2 linked regions of the Ovis aries genome follow. The protein of the gene in region 1 purifies or fractionates together with the protein of each later gene. This does not show direct contact. Links are inferred from orthologs where the notes say so. Each region holds a gene or a part of one and is shown in the gene's direction. Other genes may lie near its edges.

Region 1 (7,927 bases):
ACAAGATCAGTTTAACAATCCCCACGATGTTTGTCTGACAGAGGAATGACTATTTTTGGATTTGACGTAGCAGAGATATATCACGAGCCTATTTACAGCTATTTGTGGTGTAGGTCCACTGAGAGAATCAGAGAGCTCAGGGTTTTGATGTAGCCTGGTTCTCAAGTGTGTTCTTGTAGTAACAGTTTGTTTCAGGAGTAATCATGAGGGGTTTTTGAGACATTTATGAGAACAGTAACTGCTGCTGCTGTTGCTGCTAAATCGATTCAGTCATGCCCGACTCTGTGCAACCCCATAGATGGCAGCCCACCAGGCTCTCCCGTCCCTGGGATTCTCCAGGCAAGAACACTGGAGTGGATTGCCATTTCCGTCTCCAATGCAGGAAAGTGAAAAGTGAAAGTGAAGTTGCTTCAGTCGTGTCCAACTCTGTGCGACCCCATGGACTGTAGCCCACCAGGCTCCTCCATCAGTGGGATTTTCCAGGCAAGAGTACTGGAGCGGGGTGCCATTGCCTTCTCTGAGAACAGTAGCAGTAGTAGCTAAAGCTTCAGTGGTGGTTCCTATGTGTCAGGGACCATTTGGGGTCCTCCCCACAAGGTAACTCCTGTAACCCATTCAGGAGTAACCTCCTGGGTAACCTCCCATTAGGAGCCATTATGATCCCATTTTTCAGATGAGGAATCTGAGGCACAGGAAGACTTGTCCAAGGTTACACAGCCGGAAAGAGCAGAGCCTGGGTTCCTCAGTACCCACTCCCACACTTGGCACTTGTTCACAGTTTCCTTATAATCTATAAAAGAAATTTGACACCACACAGAAAGGTGCAGGGCCTGTTATACAACTTCACCGGCCCTGTGACCATGAGGCGCACCCTTCAGTTCTTTACAAACATTTTGACATGTATGTTTTGTATCTATGGATCATATTCATTGTTATTTTTCACGTTGCAAACATATGTATAAGTAGCAATGTACTCTATTTGCTTTGTATAACTTGCTAGTTTTTTCCTCTCATGGTTAGGATTGAGATCTGTCCAGATAGACATGTGTCACCCAGGTTCGTGGACCCTGGCCACACCTGGCTCCTGGGCATTTGAAACGTGGCTATTCCAGCTGAGATGTGCTATGTATGTAAAGTACAGAGTAGATTTCAAAGAGCGCTTAGTCTCTCAGTTATGTCCAACTCTTTGTGACTCTGTGAACTGCAGCCCACCAGGCTCCTCTGTCCATGGAATTTTTCAGGCAAGAATACTGGAGTGGGTGGCTATTTCCTTCTCCAGGGGATCTTTCCAACCCAGGGATAAAATCTATGTCTCCTTCTTTACCCTCTGAGCCGTAGAGGAAGCCCAGATTTCAAATACCTCTTTGATAATTTTTCCTGATCACATGTGGAAATGATAATATTTTGGATACACGAGTTAAGTAAAATACAGTACCAAAATCAATTTCACCTGTTTCTTTTGATTCTTTGTGTGTGGCTACCAGAATACTAAAAACGACAGAAGTATTTTGCCTTCTGTCTCTGTCGAGGGCGCTCATTCAGCTCACTCCTCTTAAATGCCCTAAGTCTGGGAGAAAGTCTCAATAGTCAGAAGTGATTTTTACTGCTCCCGGGGACTTTTCTAAGTGATATATGTGGAATAACCCATTCAGTCTTCCTGGGAGGTTATGCAGAGTCTGAAGCTATGAGCCTCAGATGGGCTGAGCAGGGTCTGGTCTGGCCACCAGCAGCCCACAGGGGCCTTAGAAGCAGGGAGAGCTGCCCAAGGACTCAGCGAGCTTTACTCTGGGCGTCAATGCCACATGGTTGTTTCTGTGGGGTTTCTGCTTTTCTTCTTCTTCTTCTTCTTTTTTTTTTTTTACTTTCAACAGAGAAGTTCTAAGCAGACAAACACTTCTGTTAATTTCAGCTTTAATGAAGCCAGCACAGGCAGTGTTTCCCTGACATCTGCCTGAAATGTTATGAGGTCAGCTCCACTCTTCACCACTAATTAACTATTTTTAGGGCAAACTGTCAAGGCACCTACTCCATTCCTGCTTCCTACGTTTTCAATTCATTTTCTTTACCCATATCTATTTATACCTGAAGTGTTTTTTTTTTTTTAAAGAGATACCCTCATCATTCTACCAATGATAAAGTTGGGGCTGGTAATGAAGTTATAGAAACGCCAGGAGGGAAAGATGACGTGTGATTTCTACTGGGAGATTATTGATGAATGTGGAATTCTTTCCCAACTCTGAATAAAAACCTCACATTAACATTTTGAACCACAAAGTCACAGGGCTGGTAGGGACCTGAGGTCTCCTCTGTGTTGGTTAAGACCAGAGTCTTGCTGTCTGATAGCTGTGTGGCCTGGATCAGATTCTTAACCATCTATTAAACAGAGACACTAACATCTACTTTCCAGAGTTTTTTGTGGATTATATGAGATGATTGTGCTCTGTCCCTTGTACATACTTTCAATCCACAGTAGTTGTGGTAATTACTATTATTATCATTACACCGCCCTTATGTCCCCAGGCAATTCCAAGGGTGTACAGCCTCTTCAAGCCCGTCTGGTCCTGTCCCAGGGGGTCCTTCTTCCTCCTTCTCCACCAGAACCCTGAACTTTCCCTCAGGGGGAGAGGCCCACAGTCAGCAGCCCCCCACCTCCCTGTGCTCACCTGTGGGGTGCAGTTTTTATAAGAAAGCTGTGCTAAGGCTGTTACCAAAGTGCCCTCTGACACACCGTCCACCCTCCCCACTTCCTTCCACAGTCTCCTCCCCTGGGACTTGCCTCTACAGACTCCTCCTAGATGCCTCTGAAATACCAGCACTGATGCTTCCTTGGCACCGGCCACCTTGCTCTTCAGTAGAGGGGTACTTCCCAACTAGGATGCCACTCCCCATCACACAGCCCCCTCATTGTGGCTTGGGAGGGCTTGTTTTGAGGAACATACCCACAAACCCACCAGGAGTCCCCTACTTTGACCTAAGAGCCCACTGCTGCTAAGTCGCTTCAGTCGTGTCTGACTCTGTGCAGCCCCATAGACAGCCACCCACCAAGCTCCGCCGCCCGTGGGATTCTCCAGGCAAGAACACAGGAGTGGGTTGCCATTTCCTTCTCCAATGCATGAAAGTGAAACTGAAGTCGCTCCGTCGTGTCCGACTCTTAGCAATCCCATGGACTGCAGCCTACCAGGCTCCTCCATCCATGGGATTTTCTAGGCAAGAGTACTGGAGTGGGGTGCCATTGCCTTCTCCGCCTAAGAGCCCAGGGCTCATGCAAAGGACACCTTCAAAGGTCAGCCATGTGTCTGAAGTTGGAAAGTGGTTTGGGCTCTGCCATGACCCTGAACTAAAGATTTTAGAGGTGAGCACACTGAGACCGGGGGCTTCAGGAGCTGGCCCACAGGTACGGAGAGTAGCTGACACTGACTTCTCCCTCGGATACAGTATTTATTCCTGGTACTAATCCCCTTCGGCCATCTCTGCTCGGAGTAAGTTGAGACAGACCTCACCCTTCCCCCACAGTTAGCACAGCGTGTGTCACCCAGAAGATGCATATTAACTGTTCGGTTTATTTCAGGGTCCATAGGGTAGGCGCAAGACCTCGTCCCTGGAGGCTTCTGCGCGGGTGGGAGCCGTGGGTCCTTCCCCTCGGATCCTCCACGGGCCCAGGGCCTGACACCCGCAGGTGCGGAGGTGCTGTCCACTCTTCCTGAGGCCCCATTTATCTTCCTCTACAGGTTGCTTTTGGATTCTCTTTGTAACGTGAATAGGAATGAGATGTTATTCCTGAAGTATACCTTCTATTTCTGACTTTTGAAAAATTTAGCTGTCTCTGCGCACCACCAAATCCAGGCTACCAAGGACCAGCCGCCTGTTGCCTAGTAACGACCGCCAGGCCCGGCCCCGCCTCCGCGGCGCACGATGGTGACGTCATAATCAGCAACACTTCCGGCGCGCGAAGCCGACTGTCCCCCTGATCGGCTGCTGGGGTCCGGGACACGATGGCTTCTGTGGGGGTTGCTGCCGGCCGGCAGGGTGAGGACACGCTGCCGCCGCCCGCAGAGCCTCCGCTGCCGGAGATGAAGCCGCTGCCGCAGCCGCAGCCGCCGCCGTCTGTCTCTGCGCAGCAGCCGCAGCCCGCGCCGAAGCCTCCATCCCCTGCCGGCGTGAAGGCGGAGGAGAACTGCTCCTTCCTTCCCTTGGTTCACAGCATCATCAAATGGTAAGGGCCCGGGGGAATCAGCCCGCACGCCCCCGCTGCCCATCACATGTCCAAAATCCAGGGGCGCCCCGCGGTACCAAGGGGGAGACACACCCGGAGGGGAGCGGCCACGCCGAGGCCACCGCGAGCAGTCCCAAGAGTTCAGCATTCCCTCCTGGGAGTTACCAGGCCCCGTGCTGGCAAGCAGCGTTCTTAAAACGAAGCCGATGTAGACAGCAAGTGCACAGACGCTGCGGGCAGACCATTGGGGTGCAGCCTGGTGAGCCTGTTTTCCCACAGATCCGACAGATACGGGTCATCTTCCATGTGTGGCACACTGCTAAGTGCTGTGGCGTGTACACGTGGAGGGGCCGACTTTTCATCCCCACCTTGCTCACCAGTTAGAAGGGGAAACTAATGAGCGGAATAACCCATAATGCAAAGAGATTATAGGGGTGATGTTGGGAATTTTACAGGAGTAGGACGCTGCCCTCCGGACAGCACTGGGGTGCCCTGTCCCGGCGACACGGGGTGATTGTCTGCTTTTGGCCAGTCTTCAGATCACCTGAGTTTTCAAACTTATCCTTAGAAGGAAAACACACACACACACACAGCCAAAATCTCCCCAATCCCCACATTTGCCCAAATTATTGTTAACTGTTATTTATGTCTACATGATAGCAAAGTTTAAACCCCTGGGCTTGAACTTTTTATTCAGCCATTAAAAAATAAAAGCAAAGTGGATTACAACAAAGTTGTAATCTTTTACAGTAACAAAGTTGTTATTTTTACAGTAACATTCAAGTGAACATCAACATGCTCTTGGATGTTTTGCTGAAATGGAATTGATACTCACAATACAAAAGTATTGGTGATGGCCTAGCCGGTTTAGAGTTGAGGCGGATTAGATTCACTTGCCCTGGGATGACCTGACACTTCCACTGCTTTTCAGACGACTGTGAAGACTTTGTTCTCACAGTAGTCACAGTAGACCTTGACTTCATCTGGCTTCACTTGGTGTGAACATAGTGTTTATCGGGCAAGGCAAACTGTTCTATTCCCAGGAGCCTGTGATCAGGTAGCACTTCTAGGCAGAGTGACCAAGCAAACACACACAGAAGCAGCCCTGGAGTCCCAGGCATTATCCAGGATCAAGCCAAATATGCTTATTCGGGTTTTAGAAAAAAATACGGAAAAATGAAAACACACAGTGTTCTCCGAGTCTATTTTTGACCCTGATAGAGCAGTTGGGTTGGGCTGGCCTTAAAGATGGAACTGTATTGTCTGTGAGAAAGAACATGGGCTTTGAAGTCAGATCTTCTTGAGTTCAGATCTGCATGTTGATGCTTGCTTGTGTTGGAATTTTAGTTAAGTGCATAGCCTTTCTAGACCTTGATTTTCTTATCTCTAATATATGAGTAATAATTGTTCTTTGTTCAGTCGCTCAGTTGTATCTGACTCTTTGGAATCCCATGGACTGCAGCACACCAGATTTCCCCATCCTTCACTATCTCCCAGAGTCTACTCAATCTCATGTCCATTGAATAGGTGTTGCCATCCAAAAATGAACCACAGATGATAGCTCTATAAGGTACCAGCTGAATGACCTTGGTCAGACAGCTTAAAGGCTTGTACTTTCCCAAGATTTGTTTTAGGAGAGAGTCAGCCAGAGTGTCTGGACTGGGGAACACTAGGCACATTGTGGGAGCTGGGGGAGGGGAGCCATACTGAGAATAGGAGCTTGAGAGCAAGTCCACAGACTGGACATTGAGACCCAGCCCCACCCTTCACCCATACCTCCCCTTTCCTGTCCCCAGCTTCTCAACTGACAGCCAAAGAAAATAGACTCTCTTGGGTGTCTGACCCCAGAGACACTGAACCAGGGAGTCGAGGAGTCATCCGAAGTTTTTGAGCTAGTGCTTGGGTTTTGTGAAGGTAGATGGGACAGAGGGCTTTAGGAGGAGGAGAGGACTGGGGTCCACAGGAAGCTGGGGAGTAGGAGGAGGAACAGGGATGAACTGCAGGTGGTGGCAGGCAGAGCTGCAGCACTGACTGAGGGGACTGTGGGTGCCCAGCACACACAGGTGCAGGTGTGGGATGGTCATCCCCATTCAGACCGCAGGTGATCAGTTACAAACATCCACATACTCGTAACAGCCATGTCATCTAGCTGTCCGAGGTGCATTTCAGGTGAAAAAAGAACCAAGAATCAGAACCATGTGTGTAGTGTGGTTACATTTTTGTCAAAACAAATTGAAAAGTGATTCAGTTACACATATATGGACATTCTTTTAAAAAAAATATTCTCTTCCATTATGGTTTATCATAGCTATTAAGTATAGTTCTCTGTGCTATATGGTAGAACCTTATTGTTTAAAAAAAATTTTTTTTTTTGTTTGTTTGTACCTTGTCCTTTCAGACTTATGTGTTGTGAATCAGTTTTCTTAAAACTATAATTTAATTTCAAAATTGCCTTGGGACTTAAATTCATAACAATGTGTTAGCACATATGCCATCCAAATGGAATGATTTCAGAAGTCCAGATGGTGTCTGTCAAGAGTTGTAGATCAGAGCTGAGACATGAAAGAAACAGAATATAAAACGCTTCCTTGAAGCTGGGGTGAGGTGCACCAGAGTTGGTGTGTGTGAATCGAGGACCTCAGAAGACAACAGGAAATGTCTTTATTTGTTCCCCAGAATAAACTATTGATTCTCCAGATCTTGCTTCCAAGTTCGAGTTATTGATAAATAGTGAGCAGGCCCCAGTGTATCTCATCTTTCAGGAATGAGCTCTAACTAGCGGATCACCAGGAAAGATGGCTATTCTGTCTGCGTAAGCAGAGAAATGATTAATAATAAACATGAATTAGCACCATCTGGGTTGAAATTGCCCAATAGGGATGAACGTTTATTGAGAGAAATAAATGATCCTTGACAGCTTTCCCCTCTTGTGCCTCAGTGGGTGACTTTTAAAACAGCCTGTGCATCGGCTTTTAGATTTTAGTCTCAACCGCCTGTTTTCAAAGGCTCATCTACCCATTTCCTAACTTTTAAAAAATATACAGGAGCAACTGATGGGCTGTTTCTGTGTTCTCAGGTGAAGGGTTTTGTTCTTGCTTCCTTTTAACTTTGCCGAGACAGGGAACATGGGTCTCCGGGCAGCCGACAATAGCTACGAGTGAAGATATCCCACCTTTAAAGTGAGTGGGACCAGAAGGCTCAGTTTACCTGAGTTGGTGGGAAAGGTGGGAGAGAGCGAGTATCTGCTGAAAGTTTTCCAGTAACTGTGACTAATGTAAAATTTATGAATAGCTCTGTGGAAATCAGACTGCATGTTAACAGGTTCAGGCATCAGAACATCAGCTAAAAGTAGCTCTTGCTCATTGATCGTCTCCTGAATGGCCTATAGTGTCTCACGTTAGAAGGAATGTGGTACTTCATTAGGTTTTACTTGCCACTTGTTGCCTGATGTTGGTGATGGTTTTTCATTCATTCAGCAGATATGTAGGAACTTACCTGTGTTCACTCTTTCAGCAAATGTAACTTTGGTGCCTGCAGGCTGGGCTGGGGAGGCAGCCCTGGAGGAAGACCCAGCTTCCCATGTGCACCTGCTGTGGGGAGGGGGGCAGGGGTGCTTGCCCATCCCCCAGTGCACTGATCAGTGTGCAAGCGACAGGCATTCTAATGCGGGGTTGGGGCCAGTGAGGAGGGAGCTCCCAGGTTGCTGGTGCTAAC
Region 2 (8,117 bases), on another chromosome or scaffold:
CCTGTCACTAAGAGTTCACATGCAGCAGCTAAAGATTTCATGTGCCACAACTAAGAACAGGCAGAGCCAAATAAATAATAAAAAAAGAACTTGGCAAAAGTGGTGGGATGTCACTTTTGAGATTAGGTTATAAAGTGGCAACTTCCATTCTTCTTTGTAGTCTCTCTCTTGCCCTCTTTTGTTCACTCTGATGCAGCCAACGCCATGTCGTGACTTACCCCAAAAGAGGTCCTTGTGAGTCAGGTTGGGACCTGAAACTTGGGAACCTTTACTAGAGTGCTTGCACTTAAGAGAGACATCTCCTTGAGCAAAAGAATACAAAGTATGAGACTAAAAATAACTGCATGCATGCAGTTGGGGGAAATTATATACGTACGTGCAAAGTCGCTTTGTGTCCGACTGTTTGTCCCACCAGGCTCCTCTGTCCATGGGATTCTCCAGGCAAGAACACCAAAGTGGGTTGCATGCTCTCCTCCAAAGGATCTTCCCCACCAGGGATCGAACCTACATCTCCTGCAGTTCCTGCATTGAAAGCAGATTTTTTTTAAAAAATGCTGAGCCCTAATTAATGTTCAATAAGATACAAAAAGGCCACAAACCAGTTGCCACTTCTGAGGCTCCAGGAGCAAAAGCAGGGTACTGTGCCCGATTCCTGCACACAGCACCACCAAGGGGTGGGCAGACAACCTAAGCCACCTTTCCAGCCCAACCCCTCCCCACCCTCACCTTATTTAAAAGAACCAGCCTGCTTCCCCTCACGAGCAAGCAGGGGTGCATGTTTCTTGTTCTTCTTTTCTCTCCCTCATGCTAAGAGTCTGTGGGAGAGTCCCAGTAAAGCCTTGCCTGAATTTCTCATTTGGCCTCTTATCAATTTCTGTTGATTAAAATCAAGTCCAAGGACCCTGGTCAGAAACACATGGAACCTCTAGTCAATAACCTGGGAGGAACTGAACCCTGCCAACAATGACAAGAATGAGCACGGGAGCAGGTCCTGTCCAGTCGAGCCTTGAGATGATTACAGCCCTTGCTGACCCTTTGATTATAGCCTGTAAGAAACTCTGAAGCATGGGACCCAGCTAAGCCACAGCTCAATTCCATCTACCGGAACTTCAAAGTAACAATGTTGCTGTTTCGTTCCACTAAGTTTTGGGGTAATTTGTTACACAGCCCAGGGTAACTTAAATAGTGTCCTTTATTTCTATTATTTTGCATATTGTGGTATATTATGAACCTGACAATTCCTGTACCTGAATCCTGGGGGTGGGAATGGGGCTACATCGGGTTAATTTTTGTTTGTGTGAATTCTAAATTCAATCCTTGTCTCTGCAGCTGTGGTCTTTGTGCTATTGGTCGGAGTCCTTTAGGGAGAATTCACCCTCTAGGTCATCACAGTGTCAGGCCTGGCTCCACTTGTTATTTGGCAACTTCCCACTAGTTTACATGTGACTGTGTATATACCTCAGTGCTACTTTCTCAGCTCGACCCACCCTCACTTTCCCCTGCTGTGTCCACAAGTCCCTCTGCTAGATTCATCAGTACCATTTTTCTAGGTTCCATATATTTGTATTAACATACTTGTTTTTCTCTTTCTGATTTACTTCACTCTGTGTGAGAGGCTTGAAGACTAGCCCAGAATTAGGTCAGCTGCTGTGGAAGGCCATTGCTTAGCTGAGGAACCACACCAAGTTTTTCACATCACAGCTGCCTTCAGGTTCTTGGTAATGCCAATGAGTACCTCTGGAATTTCTTTTCCAACCCCATCTTTTTTTCTTGTTGTCAATTTCTGTTTCCTCTCCGGGGGAGGTAAGATCCTTGAAGACTACCCATACCTCTTATGAAACCACCAATGTCGCAAAAACAGTGTCATATCATCTAATTATCAATGCCAGAAGCTGAAGTCCAAGCTAAAATATCTCATTGTTTGTTTTACCACTTGTAATCCATTGATGGTAACCATGGTAACAGTTTAAAATCAGTTAACAGAACCAATTATGCATTCAGCTTATCTAAAGGAAAGTTTCCTTATGGCTAGGAGGGCATTTTAGGTACCATTTCAAGCTCCATACCTGTTGATCATTTTGCCTTTCTCCAGTTTACTTTTATCTTCCTTATGATTTTATTAAAATTTAATTACACTAGCATACAAAAGAAGGGATCTGCTTTAGATTTAAAGGAATTTTAAGATGTCTAAACACAGGTTCAGTCATTGTTGGATCTTGATGCAAATAAAACAATTGTAAAAAGACATTTTGTGAGAACTGGGAAAATTTGATTATGGATTTAAGTGTTCGACAATACCAAGAAGTAAGAATTTTGTTAGAGATGTTAATGGCATAGTGGTTACCTGCAACTTTGGGGAGATGCCTATCCAGCAGGTAGAGGTAAAATGATACGATGTTGGGATTTGCTTTACAAGCGTTCAGCAAAGAAAATAAAAGGATCAATAAAGTACATGAGACAAAACAGTGATACTGCTGAGTGCAAAGCAATGCACCCTTTTACCTTGAAATATATTGACAAACTGCATTGGAGCAAGCTGTTTTGGTTTTCATCTCCACTAGATCACGTCTGAGCCTGCTCATTTCACCCAAACCTTCCCACCGTCATGGACTTATTTTTCCAGCATTAATTAACATGACAAAGATAAACTGACTTATCATTGGACCCTGTGTTAGCACTTACTAACTTGTGCATATGAGCGACTTTCAGTATGTTTTTGCGTACAGGAAAAACCTGCTTAGTTTCCTCCCCAATTAAAAAAAAAAAGTATTTCTGTTTTCCTAAGTTTGTATTGATCAGTAATACGTATTTGGGTAGTAAATTTCTGTCAACACATGTTACAGTGACTTCCGCAGTTTACCGTATCGTTTTCAGCTTGGTTTATGAAGTCTTCTGCGGACAAACAGCTCAATATTTTCCGTGCTCTGGCTTTGCTGTAATGATAAGAAACTCTTCCCCAGTCTTCAGGATTATACAGTGTTATGGTTTCATTTGTTATATTTACATTTTTAATCCACCTGGAATGTATTCATGTTCTAGGCCAGTTTCTGGCTCTTCTCCCAGAAAACAACTATCAGGTGTTGCTTAGCAACCTCCACTCGGGTTAGAGTTCGGCTTCTTTTAGTGGGGAAAAAACAGCTGCACTCCTTTCAGAGTTGATTGCCACCTTAAAGCGTTGCCTAGTAACCCCGTTTTAGACGTTGTGATTGGACCCTTCACACGACCCACCCACCCCCATCCCCCAAGAACCAGTAAGAACTTAACTAGAAACCTAATCTGTCTTTTTAGGAAAACAAGGGCAGCGTATGCGTTGCATAGCAACCAGGTCTCCCGGCCCTTCCATTGAAACCGGTGTCGGAAAGGTCGCCCCCCCCTCAAAAATGGCGTCTGACGCGCCGCTTTCAGTATATTTCGCCCTCGAAAGTTCTGCAAATAATTCAAGCTTCCACCTCTGGTCCCCGAAGGAGTTCTCTAGGTCCTTTTTGAGTCTTGCACACACTGGGAGCGAAGGAGGATGGAGATAAACCCACCCGCCCCGGGCGCCCCGCACAAACATGGCCGCCAGCGCGCCGCCAGCGCCGAGAGGCCGTCCCGCGCGGGGGCGCGCGCGGCGCAGGCGCACTTCCGCTCAGCCCGCGGTGTCTGAGGCGGCGGCGGCAGCGGCGGTGGCGGCGGTGGCGGCGACGGCGGCATCTGCGGCGCGGGGCATGGTCCCCGGGTCGGAGGGCCCGGCCCGCGCCGGGGGCCTCGTGGCTGACGTGGTGTTTGTAATTGAGGGCACGGCCAATCTGGGGCCCTACTTCGAGGGGCTCCGCAAGCACTACCTGCTCCCGGCCATAGAGTGAGTGCCGTTTCCGCGGCCCCAACCCCGCCCTCCGAGTTTAGTTTTCCACACTCTCTCCTCACCCCGACCTTTCACTTCCGACCCTCACAGGTATTTTAATGGCGGCCCTCCTGCCGAGACGGACTTCGGCGGAGACGTGAGTCTTGGAACTCTCGAGTTTGAGGGAAGATGGGAGTCCGGACTGGGTCTGCGGGAGGAGGGGGCGGTACCTGAACCCTGGGCCCGAGGTGGGAGGGCTCGGGTCCGGACTCCGGGGTCGGAGGCGGGAGGGGCTGGGGTTTGGACACCTGGGTCCGAGGGGCTGGGGTCGGGATTTGCGGGTCCGAGCGGGGAGGAGCTGGGGTCTGGACTCTGGTTTCCAGGAGAATGGGGCTCGGGTTCTGGGGCTGAGGGAGGAGGGACTGGGGTCCGGACTAATGGGTCCGAGAGGGGAGGAGGCTCAGGTCTTGGGTCCGAGGCGGGAAGGGCTCGGGTCCTGGGTCTGAGGTGGGAGTACCGGGGTCCGGACCCCCGGGTCCGAGGGAGGAGGGGCTGGGAGCTCCGATTCCCCTGAGGGAAAAAGGAGCTGGGTCCCAGATGAAAAGTTCTCCTGTCCTCCCCTCCCAGTATGGGGGCACCCAGTACAGCCTCGTGGTGTTCAACACGGTGGACTGCGCTCCAGAGTCCTACGTACAATGTCACGCTCCCACCAGCAGCGCCTATGAGTTTGTCACCTGGCTCGATGGCATTAAGTGAGCTCTTTTCTCGGCTTCCGGAAGGGTTGGGGGAACCTGGGAGGGACGGCAGAGGAATGGTGCTGCCGGATCCAGCCCCTCACATTGGTTGCTAAAAAGGGCTGCGATGGGGGTTGTGGTTTTGTCCCTAGGTCACTTCAGTGGTCGGTTCTGTATGCTCAGCTGGTGTTGCTGTCTGGCTTGGAAGTAGAAAGAATTTCCTGGTCAAGGAGGCCTGGGGAAGTCCAGCACCCGTCCTACTCCTCATATATTATTCTCCTTTCTGTCTGTTGCTTCTCTTGTCTACTCTAGCCCTTCTTTTTCCTACTAGGGGCACTGAAGCTTGAGCGCAAGAGGGGTGGGGCTAAGCCTCTGTGCTTTGGAGTCAATGTTGATAGTTCACACTGCAGGTGCAGACAGCCTGGGGCCACTTTTCAGCTCTACCACAACAGGACTGCCAGACCCACGAGTCCCTGTCCTCTGTGTCTAATAGAACTCATCTCTAAAAGGGGAACGGTAATAGTACTTATAGTCATCCTGTTACTTATCCAGTGTTGGGAAAACAGATTAAAGCTTAGTGACTTGGAAATTCTCTGATGGTCCAGCAGTTGGGACTCTGTGCTTCCACTGCAAGGGACATGGGTCTGATCCTTGGTGGGGAAACTAAGATCCCACATGCTGAGGGGCACAGCCAAAAAAAAAAAAAAAAATTAATTTAGTGGCTTGTTTCCTTAAGTAAGGAATTCAGGGGTGGCTTTGATGGATGGTTCTCACTCACGGTCTCTTGTGGGATTTCAGTCAGATGAGCTGGGACCGCAGTCATCCAACTGTTGGATCGGGACCAGAGGATCCATTTCCAAGGTGGCTAACCCTGTGGCTGTTGGCCAGAGGCCAACTTGCTAGCTGTTCCTTGCTAGCTGTTATTCCTAAGATATCTCTCCATGGGGCTGCTTGAGTGTCCTCCCAACATGGCAGTTGGCCTTCCTCAGCCTGAGCAATCCAACAGAAAGAGCAGAAGGAGACTACAAAGATTTTTATAATCAAATCTTAGAAGTCACACCATCATTTGTGTCACATTCTGTTTAGTATACAAGTCAGTTCTGTTCAGTGTTGGAGGGGGCATGAATACCAGGAGATGGTGCTCAGTGGAGATCTAGTTCCGGTGACACTATAGGGGACTTTGGGAATCAAACGAGTTGATGACTGTTGAGAACAGTGCCTGACACGATTAAGCGCTCCCTCAGCTTTTGCTGTTCTTTTGTGTTTTGGTTTCTTGGTCTGCAGAGGGATAACGGTAGTCCATATCAGCACTCAGAGAAGGGTCACAGAAGCTAATCTTCATACTGTGTTCAGCTCAGGGTCTGGTCAGAGTCCATTAAACAACCGGATTCGTGGGCTGCTGTTATCTGCAGCAAATGTTTGTTGAACACTTGGTTTGTTTCAGGCTTCACGTGCTAGACCAGGCACTGCACATTCACTTTCCCCCCTTATGGTTGTTAGAATTCATGGTCAGGGCAGAGCAGGGTTTCTCAACCTCAGCACTGTTGACCCTTTGGGCCAGATGATTATTGTATGTGTGTTGTGGAGGGGTGGGGGGCATTCCTGTGTGTTGTAAGGAGTTCAGTAGCATCCTTGGCTCCTTCCCCCCCAATGCCAGTGGTCTCCTCCCTCCCCAGTGTGATAAACAATAAAAACAAAGATGTCTCCAGACATTGTCAGATGTCCCTTTGGGGACAGAATCCGCCCCAGTCGAGAACCTCTGGAACAGATTGTGGTGAGACTTGAATAATGTGGAATGGGGGCTCCTTGAGGTTCAAGTCCAAGTCTGATGTCCCTCAAGTTTCTAGCACCCAGCACAGGGCCTGGCATGAAAGAGCCCCAAGGAAAACTTTGTGGAACAAGCGAATGAACGAATGTCCAGAACGCCCTTCATGCTCTGGTTCTCCCTGGTAAACGCCTACATAACATCCAGGGCCCACGCAAACGTCCTTTCCCTGATTCCAGCAAGCAGTCAGTTGCTCTCTCCTCTGCCCCCATTGCTCTCAGCTGTTTCCCTGTTACAGAGCTCCACACCTCTGGACTGTGAATGTCCAGGCCTTGGGTATTTCTCCTGCTGTTTGCCTCCAGCAGGGGCCTGAGACGCGAGTCCTTTGCCGATTAAATAAACAAGTGAAAGCTGTAAGGAAGAGAATCACCAGGAAAGTGAACCTTCTGGTGGGTGTCAGGAGAAATAGTGAAACCCCCTTGTTTAAAATGTCAAGGGCACTAGGAAGAGAAGAGGGAAATATTTTCTGAACACTTCCATCCTATATCCACCCTCTCCCTTAACCAGCTTAGAATGCACTGCCTGTTTAACCAAAAAAGAAAGCTTTGTGTGCTGCCTGTTCACCGGAATCCTCCCAATCAGCCGATAAACATTTTAAGCCATTATTGAATATTCAGAGTCATCACTGTTTTATCAGGTCCTATGTTACCATCTAAATTCAGTTTCTGTGACGTTCTGGGGAAGTCTGTAACAGAGATCACAAAGAAAGTCAGCAAGTTTTGTTCACATGGAGAAATCTTATCTTCTCCTGGAACATCCGTTACTTACAGTACAAAGCAGGCAGTGTGATTTTGGGGAAAGTCCTTGCTTTGAGGAAATTCATTTCTGATGTTACATTTCCTGTCTGACAAGCAAGGCGGTTCCCCGGCCCCTGACAGCTGGTGGCCCAGCATCAGAAGGGACAGCCCAGGTGTCTTCCCCACAGCACTGTGCCTTCGTTCATTCACTGGTTTGTGCATTCATTCATTCAGCAGACAACCTGTGGGGCAGATTGTCTCAGGCACTGAGGGGGCAGAAGGCAGGCAGTGTTCTGGCCCTCTGCAACTGGTGTTTCCTTGGGGTGATAGGCTGCTGCGGTTCCCATTCATTCATTTTGACTAGTCCCTCTGGGGGGCTCCAGGGGTGGGGCCCCTTAGCCTGTGAAAGTGAGTGGCAAGGACTCAGGGGCATGACCTCAGGAGGAACAATCGAGGCAGGGTGTGAGGATAAGGAAGCGGTGAGTCAGAGCCCATCTGTATCTCCCAGGACACTTTCACTTTTCAGTTTCACTTTCTATTTCTAATCTGAGAGATTTATTTGAAATTTTTTGATATTTAAAAACCTACTTCCCAACTGGCCATATATATTTTTTCGTGCCCCCCAGTTTTAAGTTTTTGTCTAGACAAAATATTTGTTTTGTGTCTTTCTCTGAGTTGGTAACAGATGGCTTACGTTTGATATTCATTAAGAATAAAAACTCTAGGCTCTCAGAGTGGTCAGTCAATCTTACTTTCCTTCAAATTATTTTTTTTTTAGAAATTGAGGTGAAATTCCCTCAATAACACAAGCAGTTATTTTCAAGTGGACAAGTCAGTGGCATTTAGTACATTTAAAATGTTGTGCAGCCGTCTTTTCTGTGTAGTTCTGGAACATTTTCATCCCTCTTAAGAGAAGACCCTGCATGCCTGCAGCAGCTGCTTCCTGTCTCTCCCCCTACCCCTCACCCCTACCCTTAGCCCGGCCGGGAAGATGGCTT

What was found. Proteins that work in one complex are often made in the same cells at the same time.
Region 2: the proteins of MED9 (region 1) and MED25 purify together in Homo sapiens (co-immunoprecipitation; 3 studies listed by BioGRID and IntAct, with this or other methods). This does not show direct contact. The link is inferred for Ovis aries from reciprocal best matches to the Homo sapiens genes MED9 and MED25.

Annotation. Positions count from the first base shown.
Region 1 is NC_056064.1:34,572,869-34,580,795, reverse strand, and holds the start of MED9 (mediator of RNA polymerase II transcription subunit 9), read left to right. Parts: upstream 1-3,923; 5' UTR 3,924-3,992; coding exon 3,993-4,213; intron 4,214-7,927.
Region 2 is NC_056067.1:55,908,083-55,916,199, forward strand, and holds the start of MED25 (mediator of RNA polymerase II transcription subunit 25), read left to right. Parts: upstream 1-3,612; 5' UTR 3,613-3,707; coding exon 3,708-3,841; intron 3,842-3,934; coding exon 3,935-3,980; intron 3,981-4,450; coding exon 4,451-4,575; intron 4,576-8,117. UniProt on the Homo sapiens protein: Component of the Mediator complex, a coactivator involved in the regulated transcription of nearly all RNA polymerase II-dependent genes.